Sus scrofa: one gene and its partners. The protein of the gene in region 1 binds, or shares a complex with, the protein of each later gene. Links are inferred from orthologs where the notes say so. Each region holds a gene or a part of one and is shown in the gene's direction. Other genes may lie near its edges.

The links.
Region 2: the proteins of NF2 (region 1) and LATS2 are in contact, whole or in part, in a crystal structure (PDB 4ZRI), measured with the Homo sapiens proteins. The link is inferred for Sus scrofa from reciprocal best matches to the Homo sapiens genes NF2 and LATS2. Residues at the interface, in NP_000259.1 of Homo sapiens: Pro135, Glu136, Ala137, Val139, Leu140, Tyr144, Asn175, Leu176, Tyr177, Gln178, Met179, Trp184, Arg187, Trp191, Glu206, Lys209, Ile210; in NP_055387.2 of Homo sapiens: Tyr73, Ala76, Leu77, Glu79, Ile80, Arg81, Ser83, Leu84, Leu85, Phe87, Ala88, Asn89.
Region 3: the proteins of NF2 (region 1) and LATS1 are in contact, whole or in part, in a crystal structure (PDB 7LWH), measured with the Homo sapiens proteins. The link is inferred for Sus scrofa from reciprocal best matches to the Homo sapiens genes NF2 and LATS1. Residues at the interface, in NP_000259.1 of Homo sapiens: Pro135, Glu136, Ala137, Val139, Leu140, Tyr144, Asn175, Leu176, Tyr177, Gln178, Met179, Met183, Trp184, Arg187, Trp191, Glu206, Ile210, Asp213, Leu214, Glu215; in NP_004681.1 of Homo sapiens: Pro69, Lys70, Phe71, Gly72, His74, Ala77, Leu78, Glu80, Ile81, Arg82, Ser84, Leu85, Phe88, Ala89, Asn90.

Annotation. Positions count from the first base shown.
Region 1 is NC_010456.5:46,652,628-46,657,216, forward strand, and holds the start of NF2 (merlin), read left to right. Parts: upstream 1-1,241; 5' UTR 1,242-1,740; coding exon 1,741-1,854; intron 1,855-4,589. UniProt on the Homo sapiens protein: Probable regulator of the Hippo/SWH (Sav/Wts/Hpo) signaling pathway, a signaling pathway that plays a pivotal role in tumor suppression by restricting proliferation and promoting apoptosis.
Region 2 is NC_010453.5:1,263,017-1,267,875, reverse strand, and holds the start of LATS2 (serine/threonine-protein kinase LATS2), read left to right. Parts: upstream 1-1,905; 5' UTR 1,906-2,070; intron 2,071-2,345; exon of another isoform or gene 2,346-2,604; intron 2,605-4,859. UniProt on the Homo sapiens protein: Negative regulator of YAP1 in the Hippo signaling pathway that plays a pivotal role in organ size control and tumor suppression by restricting proliferation and promoting apoptosis.
Region 3 is NC_010443.5:16,273,305-16,277,908, forward strand, and holds the start of LATS1 (serine/threonine-protein kinase LATS1), read left to right. Parts: upstream 1-1,650; 5' UTR 1,651-1,885; intron 1,886-4,604. UniProt on the Homo sapiens protein: Negative regulator of YAP1 in the Hippo signaling pathway that plays a pivotal role in organ size control and tumor suppression by restricting proliferation and promoting apoptosis.

The DNA of each region.
Region 1 (4,589 bases):
TAGCTCCGTCATGCTGAGCTTTTTCTTCACCTGTAGAGTGGGGGTGGGGGTGATAATGATAGTTAATACCTGTGCAACGCTTAACCTTCAACCACTCAGCTAGGCAACCACTAAGAATTAACTTAAAATTTGGATTAAAAGAGAAACAGAAACACACACACACACACACACACACACACGAGTTCCAGTTGTGGCTCAGCAACTAGTATCCAAAGAGGACTCGGATTCAATCCCTGGCCTCCCTCAGTGGTTTAAGGATCCCGCATTGCCCTGAGCTGTGATGTAGGTCGCAGATGCGGCTCAGATCTGGCATTGCTGTGGCTGTGGTGTAGACTGGAAGCTGCAGCTCCAGTTGGACCTCTATCCCAGGCGCTTCCATATGCCCCAGGTGTGGCCCTAAAGAACCACAACAAAAACACAGAAAGTTATACTCCCCTACCTCTCTCTCACACACATTCACTGTAACCCTTGAGGAAGTTTAAACAAAAATCATGTATATGATCTGAAACTGGAAATCACACAGAACACAACATAAAAACTGCTTTCATTTTTCTAGTTTTTTAAATCTACAGAAAGAATAATTTCATAAGATTCAACGTAGTATGACCAGTCACTTATCTAAAGCTTTATATGGATGATCTCGCTTAAATTCCTCAACAACTCCATGAGACAGATGCAATTATTACCCCCTCCCGCGGTAACAACTAGAATTTCTCCTCAACAGAAGCTGAAGGACTTGGCGGAAACTGCCCGCTACCAAGCGGCCTCAAGTGATTTGAAAGTTTAAGAAAAACCAAGTCAGTACATGTAATACATGCAATTAAGTGCTAAACAGGATTGGCCGCTCGGCGTTCGAAACGCAGTCTCCTGGGGCGCCACACTCGGCGCAGACCTGGTCCGAAGGGCAGTCCCTTGCTGAACTGAGGAGTGACTCATCTCCCGCGCCCCGGGAGCAGCCTCTTCTTGTTTTCCTGGGAAAGGCGCGCCGGGCTCCCCGCGTCAACCAGTCTTGCTAGAGTAGGCGTACCCCTACGAACAAAAGCGTTCGGAGTGACGCTGCCTTAGCCACTCAACGTCGAGGGTAATCCCGCGCCTCCAATTAGATCTGAACTTCCAATTGGTAAAGTCCTACTGAAGAAGGTGGGACAGCGGGAGAAAGTCCCGCCTCCCTCAGAGTTCTCAGCCAATCGTGGTGTCTAGGCTGCAGCCGCCGAGTTAGGTTGCGTTGCGTGTAGCGCTCTGAAGGGCCTGAGGGCGGGGCAGGGAGCAGGCCGGGGGATGCGGGGAGGGGACGCTTCCCGCGGGTGCGCGGAGCTAGGACGGTGACAGCCACGCGCGCACGTGCGCGCCTGGCTGGAGAGCGGCCCCTGAGACCTCTGTTGGCCGCTGAGAGGCGCGCAGGGTCTGGGCAGCCGCCGTCTAGGGCCCCCGTCCCTGGGCGTCCCCAACGTCCCCAGCCCGAGTCCCGGCGAGAGCCGGGCGGTGCCCGCCTTGTCTGTCCCTGATCGCGATCTCTCCCCGCGGCCATCAGGGCCCGCCCCCCAACTCCCCTTTCCGTTCCCAGGGCACGGTCCTCGCGGCCCATGCTGGCCGCTGGGGGCCCGCGCCGCTCAGACAGCTCCCGGGCCGGCCGGCCGGCCACCATGGTGGCCCTGAGGCCTGTGCGGCTTCTCCAGGGAGGCTAAAAGGTCCAGAGTGCAGGCCCCGGGGCCCCAGGTTCCCGGGCCTGAGCCCCACGCCATGGCCGGGGCCATCGCTTCCCGAATGAGCTTCAGCTCTCTCAAGAGGAAGCAGCCCAAGACGTTCACCGTGCGGATCGTCACTATGGACGCGGAGATGGAGTTCAATTGCGAGGTAACCGGCCGGCAGCCCCTACGGGCTGCAGCGAAGGGAGGCCTGGCGGGATCGGGCCCTGGTGCGGATCTGGCACCGACCTGGGCGCCCTTGCCGCGGTGACAGTTGAGGTGGAAGCTTCGGGATTCTGTTTATATCATCTCTGGGCAAAGACTGAGAGGGTCAGAACCGGAAGGAGCCATCTAGGCCCAAATCGTCATGTTAAAGATAATCGCTGCTTTTTTCAATGGGACTTTTGGGTTTGGAAGTGCTTCCTGAAGGTTTTCATTCATTGTTATTCCAAGAGTCTGAAAACATCCGTGGTAGCGAAATTTAATTTTCAGTGTCAGGCTTTAACTTCAGCTTTATAGAGTTTTTAACTTTATTCGATTATATTATGTACCCCAGCTATTAAAAGTTGCATCTCATTTTATTGCACAGTCTACAGTAGTTGTTTCCCTTTTTCACAGCTTAAATTTTCTGGAAAAAACTCTTCGAGGAAAAAGATGATATCCTAAACTTTCCCTACAGTTTGTATCACAATGATAAGTTATCCTTTATTGAATACGTCCTAAGTGTCAGACATTCATACACTTACCTCTCAAAACAACTCATTTAGGTGGGTACCCCAAACCATATATCCAGTAAATGGTGAAGGAGCGTTTTGATTCGAGCCAATACAGTACTGCTCTCAAGTAATTTTATGTCCTTGCTACTCAGAGTGTGGCCTGGGGACAAGCAGAATTGGCAACAGCAACATAAGTCAGTGGTTGGCAATTTTTTTTCTGTAACGGGCCCATAATAAATTTTTTCAGCTTTTCAAGCCTTAGGGTCCGAGTTGCAACTGCTCAACTCTTCAGTTCTACCTCTGTAGAACAAAAATGGCCTTAGGCAGGATCCCTTCCAGCCTGACAGGGTGAGGAACTCCAGTGACATGGTGCTCTGTAAACTGGTAAAATTTATTTTTAAAAAACAATTTAGGAGTTCCTGTCGTGGCTCAGTGGAAACAAGTATCCATGAGGACACAGGTTCGATCCCTGGCCTCAATCAGTGGGTAAGGATCTGGCATTGCTATGAGCTGTGGTGTAGGTCACAGACACAGCTCGGATCCCGCGTTGCTGTGGCTGTGGTGTAGGCCAGTGGCTACAGCTCTGATTCGACCCCTAGCCTGGGAACTTCCATATGCCACAGTATGGCCCTAAAAAGACAAAACAAAAACAAAAACCAATTTAGAGAGTTCTCTGGTGGCACAGCAGGTTAAGGATCCAACGTTGTCACTGCTGTGGCTCTATGGCTTGGGTCACTGCTGTGGCGTGGGTTCAGTCCCTGGCCCTGGAACTTCTACATGCCGTAGGTGTGGCCAAAAAAATTTTTTTTTTGTAAACCCTCTGGAAGTTGTTCTAAGAGCAGACATCAAGTGAAGAAGCATCTACTCAAGAAAATCTATGAAGGGGGGTCCCATCATGGTGCAGTTGTTAACGAACCCTACTGGTATCTGTGAGGACGGGGGTTCAATTCCTGGCCTTGCTCATCGGGTTAAGGTTTCACTGAGCTGTGGGTATAGGTCAGAGACGCAGCTTGGATCCTGCATTGCTGTGGCTGTGGCATAGGCCAGCAGCTGTAGCTCTGATTGAACCCCTAGCCTGGGAACCTCCATATGCCGTGGGTGCGGCCCTTTAAGACCAAAAAAGAAAAAAGAAAAAGAAAGAAAGAAAATCTATGAAAATTCGGTAAAGGAGTTCCATTGTGTTTCAGCAGTTATGAACCTGACTAGTATCCATGAGGATGCAGGTTTGATCCCCGGCTTCGCTCAGTAGGTTAAGAATCTGGCGTTACCCTGTGCTACAGTATAGGTCACAGACATGGCTCCGATGCTGCATTGCTGTGGCTGTGGTATAGGCCAGCAGCTACAGCTCTGATTTGACCCCTGGCCTGGGACCTTCCATATGCTGCAGGTGTGGCCTTAAATAGAAAAAAAAAAAAAAAAAAAATCTGTAAGAAAGGCAGGAGTTTGTGGTGTTTGAACCAGGACCATACCACCCTCCCTGCTCCCAGCTCTACAAGGTAGAGATTCTGCTCTCAACCCCGCAGCCCAGTACACAGGGCTTCCTCTCCCCCTACCCCCTAGGCAGACAGCCTTCTTCCCAGAAGTGCATAGTTTAGGGCTTCTGCCCAAGGCTACTTGTTGCTGAGGCTAAATCCTGGGTGAGTGAAGCTGAATCATGGAGCTTCCTTCTTCCACCCAGCTCTTACTTATGGAATGTGGGCTGTATTACAGGTGTGGCTCTCCGGGAATACTGGAGTCCCAATGACCCTCAGTTTGTGAGATGGTGGTTCCAGCCAGGAGAAGCAAACTGAGAAGGCCTCAGGCTACTGTGTCTTCCCTTACCCCCTTCTATCAGGGGCTCAGAGATTTTGCCTGGAGGGAGAAGCAGGTTTTAAAACCCTTAGCTCCTTACAGAAAGTAGTGACTTTTTGTTTGCAAATAGAGTGTGGAGAATTTATGACTAAGGGGACTCTCTAGAACTGAGGAGCTTTTGGTGAAAGGCAATTGGGAAATTTGTGGATTTAATGAAGATACTGTATAGTCTATAGGCCAGTTAGTTTGTAGGAGTCAATAAAACATCTGGAAAGAACCAAACTAAAATTCTGGAGTTGGAAAATACAATGACTGAGATGAAAAATTCACTAGAGGGGCTCAAGGTAAATTCCAATTGGCAGAAGAAATAATTTGTATTTGAAGATAGATTGATAGA
Region 2 (4,859 bases), on another chromosome or scaffold:
GCTGTGGGTGCAGCCCTAAAAAGACAAAAACAAAACAAAACAACAATAAAAAAACCACACACGTGTGTGTGTGTATATATATAAACACATACAGGTATGTTTTATATGTGTGTGTTTTATATAATATGTAATATATAATATATATCGTATACTTTTAGGTATATAGCATAAATAAAAATACATATACTTATATTGTTTCACCAGATTAGATCCTGTACTCTGTTTTGTCACTGTGTTTCTTTCTTTCTTTCTTTTTATTTATTTATTTACTTATTTTTGTCTTTTTGTTTTTTCTTGGGCCGCACCGGAGGCACATGGAGATTCCAAGGCTGGGGTCTTATCAGAGCCGTAGCCACCGGCCTAGCCAGAGCCACAGCAACGCAGGATCCGAGGTTCATCTTCAACCTATACCACAGCTCACGGCAACACCAGATCCTTAACCCAATGAGCAAGGCCAAGGATTGAACCTGCCACCTCATGGTTCCTAGTCAGATTTGTTAACCACTGCACCATGACGGGAACTCATCTTTCGCACCTGTGGCATATGGAGGTTCCTAGGCTAGGGGTCAAATTGGAGCTGAAGCTTCAGGCCTACACCACAGCTCACAGCAATGCCAGATCCTTAACCCACTGAGTGAGGCCAGGGATCAAACTGGTCCTCATGAACGCTAGTCAGGTTCACTACTGCTGATAGACGATGGGAACTCCATATGAAACATTTTTAAAGATGTTTCTCTCTCTCTCTCTTTTTTTTTTTTTTTTTTTTTTTTTTTGGTCTTTTTAGGGCTGCAGCTATGGCATATGGAGGTTTCCAGGCTAGGAGTTGAATGGGAGCTGCAGCTGCCAGCCTACACCACAGCCACAGCGATGCCCAATCCAAGCCTCCCTGTGATCTACACCACAGCTCAAGGCAACCCAAGATCCTTAACCCATTGAGCGAGGCCAGGGATTGTACCTGCATCCTCACGGATTCTAGTCGGTTTAGTTACTGCTGAGCCACAAAGGGGCCTACCCTAAAGATGTTTCTTCTTTTGCAGAAGTTCCAGGGCCAGGGATGAAACCGGCACCACAGCAGTGACAACACAACCTCCTGTAAGGAAACTCCAGATACGGTGTTTCCTTTTTTTTTTTTTTTTTTTAATTTGGGCCTCTCCTGGGGCATGTGGAAGTTCTATCTACAATCATTTATCCTTTGAAGAGTTCAGCTAGTTCGTTCACTGAGGTATTTTACATATTTTACTTTCCCCCATTCCCTGTTGTTGGGACTTTTAGGTTCTTCCTGAGTTTTCACTATTACAAACTCACAATTTGATTCGGTGTTTTACACAAAAATTTTAAAGTCCATTACATGCCTTCCCTGTCCCTTGTCTTTCTTTTATTGAATGCTGTTTATATCGCTGAAGGCAGAGCCAGGGCAGGACCTTTAACCGCACACGAGGGCAGGAGGGCCGCCAGCCCCCAGGCGGGGGCCAGGCGGAGGGGGCGTGGTCGGGCCTGAGCCTGGGGCCGCAGGTGAGCGCCCGGCTGGGCCCTGGGGAGGCGCGGGCGGCTCCTCCTGGGGCGAGAGCGGGTCCGCAGGTGAGCGGGGGTGGGGTGGGTGCAGGGGAGGCGCGAGCTGCGCGTCGAGGTGCAGCGGGCGCAGGTGCGCCGACGACACCTGGCGTCCCCGCTGCACGACGGCAGCCGAGCGGTCGGCGCGGGGAGCGGGGTCGTGACCTCAGGCAGTTTCCCTCCAGCCCGGCCCGGAGCTTGTCCGCCCAGAAGGCAGCCGCCCTGGCCTTTCACGCGGCGGCCGCAGGGCGGGGCAGGTGCGGCCGTCGGCCCGCGCGGTCTCCCCCGGCGGCCGGGCGGGCGGGGCGGGGCGGGGCGGGCGGCGGTGACGCGGCGGTCACGTGACGGCCGAGGAATGCCAACAATGTAGCGAATGTCCCGCTCGGTGCGCGCAGGGCCGCGGCGCGAGCGCCGGAAGATGGGGCCGCCCGCCCGCCCGGCGCCCCCGGGCCCGGCGTCCCCGCGCGACGCCCCGGAGCTGCGGGCCAGGCGGCCGCGCACCGCGTAGACGGCGCCGAGGTGAGCCGGCGGGCGGGCGGGCAGGCGTCGGGGCGGCCCCCGGGCTCGGCCCGGCGGGGTCCGGACTCCGACTGGGACGCGCGCTCGGGACGGGCGGGCGGGGCCGCTGGCCCTGCGGGCCCCTCCTCGGCCCCCGGCGGGCGGGTCGCCCCCCACCTCGGGCCCCCGCGGGCGGGGCGGCCCCACCCCGCCCCCACCTCACCTCCGACCCCCACCCCTCCCCCACCCCGGCGGCCCGCGGCCTCCCCCGCGCTCGCCGCCCGCCCGGCCCCGGCCGCGGGGTCCGACCCGGTTGGCGCTCGCGGGCGGGACTCGGGCGCCTCGGGGGCGGGCGGAGGGCAGGGGTCCCGGCGTGACACGCCCGCAGGCCTCGGGTGGGACCGGAAAGTGCACTTTGTGCGCCGGGCCGGCGGTGTGGACGGATCTGACCCGGAGTGGATGGAGGGGAGGGGCGCCTGGCGGAGCAGAACCCGGACTTTTAAAAGTTTCTCCGCCTCGGCTGCGGCGCAGGCTGCGTGCGCTCCGAGTTGGCAGGTAAGGTCGCCGGCCGCGCAGCTCGGGCCCCGAAAGTGTTCAGCGGGCACCTCCGTTTGCGGAGGAAGCCTTGCCCGCATTCCGCTCAGAAGCTCGAGTGCAGAAGCCTGGGCGGAAAGTCGCGAAATGTGTGATGTTCGCGCAGGTGCTCAGTTTGCGTTTTAACCTAGTTCTTGACAGGCCTTCGGTCAGTAATGCAGAAAGGAACTCCTGCTTTTTATCAGGAAATGTGCGCTCAGTAGATCCTGCTGCATTTTTCCGCTGAATCTCATCTTAACGCCCCTGCGCGATGGGCCAGCTTTTTTTTGGGAGGGGGCACCGTTTTTGAGTGCTAGATCAGGAGACTGAGCTGCTCTGTATCCTTAAGGTTTTTTCTTTTGCGATTGTATTAACAAGGTAGTAACCGAGAAAGTATTAATAATAACCAGAAAAGCTTCAGAACAAGAGTGTACAGACTGTTTAAAAAAGTCTGTTTTAGATTATAATGAACAAGACACTGTGATTCAGTCTCTCATAAAATTCGGTCTCATTATCCAGGTATATAGAGCACTGTGTAATGAATATGGCAGCATTCCTTTGAAATTAAAACTGTAGAACATTTAGTCTCAAAATGTCAAGCAATTTGAAACATCTGAGCAGAAGGTGTCATGAGACGTTATTAGGGTTAATGGCTAGAATCTTGGGATTTTTGAACTGGAAAGGATTCTTCTAGTCTCTCCATCTAATTCGAAATAGTTTTTTGATTTAGGTGTAAATCGGGGCTGTGCATATTTCTCAGCACATCACAGGGATGGTGGGAGGGGAATGTGTTTGTACACTAAGATGCCTTATTTTAAATACTGTGGTGTAAATAGCCAGCCCCCCCAGAAGTTCCTAAATCCTGCTGTATGGGGGTGGGGTGGGGGTGAGGAGAGGTGTTGGAGCTGAGACATTTGCCATGAACACACTGGAAGGTTTTGGGGGAAATTGGGGGGGGGTGTGTGCTGATCTCTATTGGAAAACCCAGACTAACAGTTTTTTAGAAGCTGCTGTTATATTTTATTTCATGATTGTAATAATGTGAAACTTCTGGAGTTCCCATCGTGGCGCAGTGGTTAATGAATCCGACTAGAAACCATGAGGTTGCGGGTTCGATCCCTGGCCTTGCTCAGTGGGTTGAGGATCCGGTGTTGCCGTGAACTGTGGTGTAGGCTGCAGACGAGGCTGGGATCCCGAGTTGCTGTGGCTCTGGTGTAGGCTGGCAGCTACAGCTCCCATTCGACCCCTAGCCTGGGAACAGAAGCAAAAGGTCCTGGAGCAACACCCCACCGTGGTCGGCTGAACTTGGCAGCAGCTTCCCTACCTGGGGGAGAAGGAGGCTACCACTTTAAGGGGGAATTGACATCAGGTTGGTTCATCAGTTGCCAGGGAAATTTGGGGGTGGGTGTGTTCTGATATGCCTCCATATGCCGCAGGAAGCAGCCCTAGAAAAGGCAAAAAGACCCCCTCCCCCCAAAAAAGTGAAACTTCTAATATTCCTTACTGATTTTGTAAAGATAATAGGTTGGAATAAATACAGAAGATAAATTCAGTGCATTTAACTTTGCTTTGACTGTAAATCTTCTCTAAAAAGAAGCAAAATAGTCTGAACAACAGAATGAAGAGGTTGGGTTTGAAAACTTCTAAAGTGACTAACTTTCAGCATGAAAGATTTTCTGAATGTTCCTCCTTAAAAAAAAAAAAAAGCCTGTCGCTTACTAATTCCTCTGGACTGAACTGGGCCTCCCAGGTCCAGGGTCATATTCCCACTGTGTGCTAGTGGCACACGGAGGGCCACCAGTGAAGACTCCCCAGTGTGGAGATAGCCCTGCTTGGCTGCTCAGTTCCCTGTTAGTTGTTCTCTAAGTACCTTTAAGGCTGGTGCTCTTTGATTTACAGCTTCATGTTGAAGGATTATTAAAACAAAGGTAATGTTGAAATGAAGATAATGGTTATGGGGCTAAAATTAGGATGGAAATTTGACAGTGCTTAATGTTTGCTGATCATTACATGAGAACTTTATCTCGCCGTCTAGACCACATCAACCTAATTGTGACATTTATTTTATTTTATTTTATTTTAAGGCCACACCTGTGGCATATGGCAGTTCCCAGGCTAGGGGTCAAATTGGAGCTGTAACCACCGGCCTACGCCACAGCTAAAGCCACTTGGGATCCAAGCCGTGTCTGCAGCCTACACCACAGCTCACGGCAATGTCGGATCCTTAACCCACCGAG
Region 3 (4,604 bases), on another chromosome or scaffold:
CCTGCTCTTTGTTCCTCCTAATTCACAGGAGTAAACCCTTTAGTCTCAGAGCGATTTACTGAACTCCTTGAATTATCTAGGATTTTTTCCAAAGACCTAGGTTTTTGAAAATACCTGCCTTTAGGTTTTGAGCTTGTCTGTGGTTCTAACATTTATTTGTTCATTCATTCAGCAAATGTTAACCAAACGTCTTTGAGGAGCTTAAATGAGAAAATTCTGTGGGCTGGTGACAGAGGTGACAAAGTTTCGGGGGGCAGCATGCTCTTCCAGATACATAATCCTGGAAAGAGCAAGCAGGCCTGTGGACATACTAGATTCATAAAATGTATATAGTTTTGAGGCTGAAAGATACCCTGCTGGTCACTTAGTTCTCCAGCTGAAGAAAGACCCAGGGCTATTAAGTGACTCCCTTTGTTTTTGTTGTTTGGTTGTTGTTTTTGGTTTCCTTTGTCTTTTTTAGGGCTACACCCACAGCATATGGAAGTTCCCAGGCTAGGGGTGGAATCCAAGCTGCAGCAATTGGTCTACAGCACAGCCACAGCAACTAGGGATCCAACAAGTCTGCGACCTACACCACAGCTCATGGCAACTCCCAATCCTTAAGCGAGGCCACAGATTGAACCCTCATCCTCTTGGATCCTAGTCAGGTTCCTTACCGCTGAGCCACAAAAGGAACTCCCTTAAATGACTCCCTTTAGATCATACCTTTTACAAACTCTACCTGTGGAAGAGACTTTCAACCAAATGCTCTTGGAATGTAATCTTTTCTTTCATCATAAGTTTTCATATTTGAACTTCTGGAAATAGTAGCCAGCCACTAACTCAACATCAGAAAAAAAAGAGGCTTTGGTTTAAACGAATAATAGCTAGTCTCCAGCATAAATGTGATGAAAGGAGATATTTGAAAGTACTAACTGCATATATTTTCTAGAGGCAAAATTGGCAAAGGCCATGGGCAGAGAGTGGAGGGGATCTTCAAACATCATAAACCCAACGATCCCATCCCAAACTTCCAATTCCATCTAACAAGATAAAGCCTCTTTCGCTGCAGTCAAAATTATTCCAGTTATGGTAATAATGACTTCCTTTTATACCGATTCAGTTGACAGATTATTCAGTTGACAGAAATCTCTGAACCCCTAGTCTGTTCGTGTTCGCGAATATATTAATCTGACTGATTCAGAAAACAAACTCACGGATGTACTCGGGGAAAGAGTGCTAAGCAAACATCAGTTTATTTCAAAGCCTCTAGAAATTCCGAATCCCGAGGTCCACCGCGAGGTTTCAGAGAGCAACTCACGGCTGTTACCTTTTGGAAATTAAACTCTTGCAGAGGCGCACCTTTTATTCTACATTCGTCCTTCCACAGAAAGCGCTCAATTGAGAAAGACACTGAACTAAATGAGTGGGCTTGGGAGGCGGAGAGCCGAACGCCATCAGCCGTGGCGAGTCACCTGCGCAGCGCAAAGCGGGGGCGACGCGGGGCGACGCGCGGGCACACGCAGGGGGACGGGCGGCCGCGGAGGGCGGGAGGCCGGCGGCGGCGCGCCCGCTCCCCACGGCCGGGCGGGCAGAAGCCCCCAGTCCTCGGCCCCCGCGCAAGCGACGCCGGGAAATGCCCACATCCGGGAAACCTGCAGCGGAGTGCGGCGGCGGCGACACCGAGTGGAAGGCAAAATGGCGGCGGCGGCGGCGGCCTGGTGCTGAGGGGAGAGCCAGGTCCCCGCGACCTCCGCGACGGGCCGCGCTGGCCCGCGGCAGCCCCCCGGCGTCTCTGCCCGCCCTGCCCCACCGGGGACACTTGGGGTCCCTGGGACGGGCTCCGGCCGCCTCGACGCCCGCCCTCGGGCCCGTGGCCGCTGTCCAGGAGCCCCGCTCTCTGCAGGTAGGTCCGGGGCTGGCGTAGCGGGTGGGGCTCACTCTCTCCTCCGGAGCCCGCGTTGGCGGGGCGGTGGCCGTCGGGGCCCACGCCCATCCCCGCTGGCGGGAGTCCAGGGGCCGCTGCGGACGGGCGGGCCGGGCCGGCCCGGTACGGGCCCGATTTGGCTGGTTGCATGGACCTGAGCGGAGCCCTGCCCTGGGGAAGCGAGGGTTGGCCGCGCCCGGGGCTGGAGGAAGAGCCCCAGGCTTTGCGGCCTTGGAGGTTCAGGTTAGCCCGGGAAGATCCTGTCTCACTGGAGGCCTTGCGCGGACTGTTTTCGCTCACACCTCCCTCCACCCTTGTCTCCAACCCTCACCGGTCAGCGGTGTTCAGGAAGGAACGGATAGCGAAAGGTGATTGTGAAGGAAATGTGCAGTGAAGGAGCCACAGTTCTTTCATTCCAGAAGGACCTGCTCCTGGATATACCTTGAAGAAATTCTGAGAATTTCTATTTACAGTCCACTGTAAATAGGTTGCTGTTCATAGTTGGAAGGGATAGGAGAGATGGAGGGAGTATGTCTGTAAATTCAGAAAATGAAGGAAAGGAAGTTCAGGGGACATTGTTTATTGTAACTTCAAAAAGACTTTGTGCCACAAAGAATGACTCTCAGGTGAAGTGATTTAACCCCATTCTTTCCAGTTGGAAGCTATTTTCTTCTTCAGTTTAAAGTTCTTTTCTAAGGGAACAAAAATTAATGTCTGTTGACCCATATGTTAATACGACTCAAAATATTACATCGTTATCTAGAAGTTAATTCATAAATCTAGTGAGAACTATAATCTCGCACACAGTATTGTATCACTCCAATTTTGGAAATGGACTTGAACCATGAAGGGTGTCAGGTCTTATGGATTGTTATTGAGGACTAAGAATTTTTTGTCAGATTTCCACCATATAGAAGAAAAAGTCGGATATTATAATTGTAATGAATGTGCTCTGCTAAGGTATCTATGTTCGTGATTTAACTACGTTTATTTTTTTCCTTTAATTAGTTGACACACGGGTAAAATGAGCTAGTTGATTCCCTAAGGCAGTGGAGGAATTTGATTTAACAGTGAAAGAAGTAGCATTGTGTTCCTCTGATCGGCTGTTACTGCAAGAAACTAGATCATGATACAGGCTAGAAAAGGCGCATTTTTTCCTGTGCCTGAGTATTTAATAAATATGGTGACAGCCTTCAAAAGCAAATAAAAATATTTCTGCTAGATATATTTGGCATGATATGGCACATGTGGATTTCTTTCTTTAGGTTGAGTTTTTGTTTTTGTTTTTAATGCTCCTCCTTGTTACTCTACATAGTGTAGCCTTAGAACAGTTCCAGCTCTGGTTATTTAGTTTTTGCTCTAGATGTGATATTTAGATTAGTGGTGGATTTTTGTAGACTATGAAAGTTATTTAGTCATTGAACAACATTTTTATCAAGTAGAAATGGCAGTCATTTTTCAAATGATGATAAAATATAATGATTGTTCTCACTTTTGATAGGTTAACTCTTAGAAAGTGAATTGGAGAAAATGTCATCAGAATGCAGAGATTCTTACATATTACCATATGGACAGCTAAGACTATACTGCTAAGACAGTACTGTTGCTTTTCTCATAACTGATTTAGTCAAAGCTTTAAGATACCATCTTTTTTACAAGCCTAGTTCAACCTAAGGTATCAATTTGAAATCTTCTTATGTAATGGGCTCTGTTCTTTTCCTAAGTTGGGTAAGATATCAGCAGTATTTGTTTGTACTTATTGACATTTGTACATCTGATGAAGGTCCGAACTTTCTAAGAAATGGAGGTTTTGTCTGTTCAGTCTAACCAAGTTATCCCTTCAAAGAATGTGAGTCATGATCCCTTAGGAAAACTAAGATGTAGGTATGATAAAAAAGAGCCTTGGGGAGTTCCTGTTGTGGCTCAGTGGTTAATGAATCCGACTAGGAACCATGAGGTTTCGGGTTTGATCCCTGGCCTTGTTCAGTGGGTTAAGGATCCGTGTTGCCATGAGCTGTGGTGTAGATTGCAGACGCGGCTCTGATCATGAGTTGCTGTGGCTCTGGTGTAGGTCAGTGGCTACAGCTCCGATTGGACCCCTAGCTTGGGAACCTCCATATGCTGCAGAAGCAGCCCAAGAAATGGCAAAAAGACCAAAAAAAATGACATGGAAAAAAGAGCCTTGGGCTGTTTCAGGATATGTGGAGTCCATTCCTAGCATGACCTCCAGCTGGCTGTATGATTTTAATGGGGCCACTTTACCTCTCTGGATCCATTTACTCTGGATCAATTCAAATTATAATTTAAAATAAAATACACACACACACACACACACACACATCCAATATCCAAGATACCTCTGCTTTGTCAGTCTGTGCTTAGTGGGAAAAATAAGACAAGTACAAGAATAGGGCAAAAACAAGTTTTATTTGCCTGTGTAAAGTGCATTTGAAGTTCAGAGGAGGATAGCAGCTGGCACTTCAATGAAAGCTTCATGAAGGAAGCATTTGAATGGCACCATAAATGCTGGGTATAATTTCTACAAGAAGGAATATGGCAGAGGGTCTCCTAAGAAGAGTAAGAACATGAAGGTAGAGAAGCACAAGGCACATTAGCAGAAAGCAAGTAATTTGGCTTGGTTAGAATATATGTTATACAGGGAGAATCTGGGTAAGATAGTGGAAAAAGATATAATAAG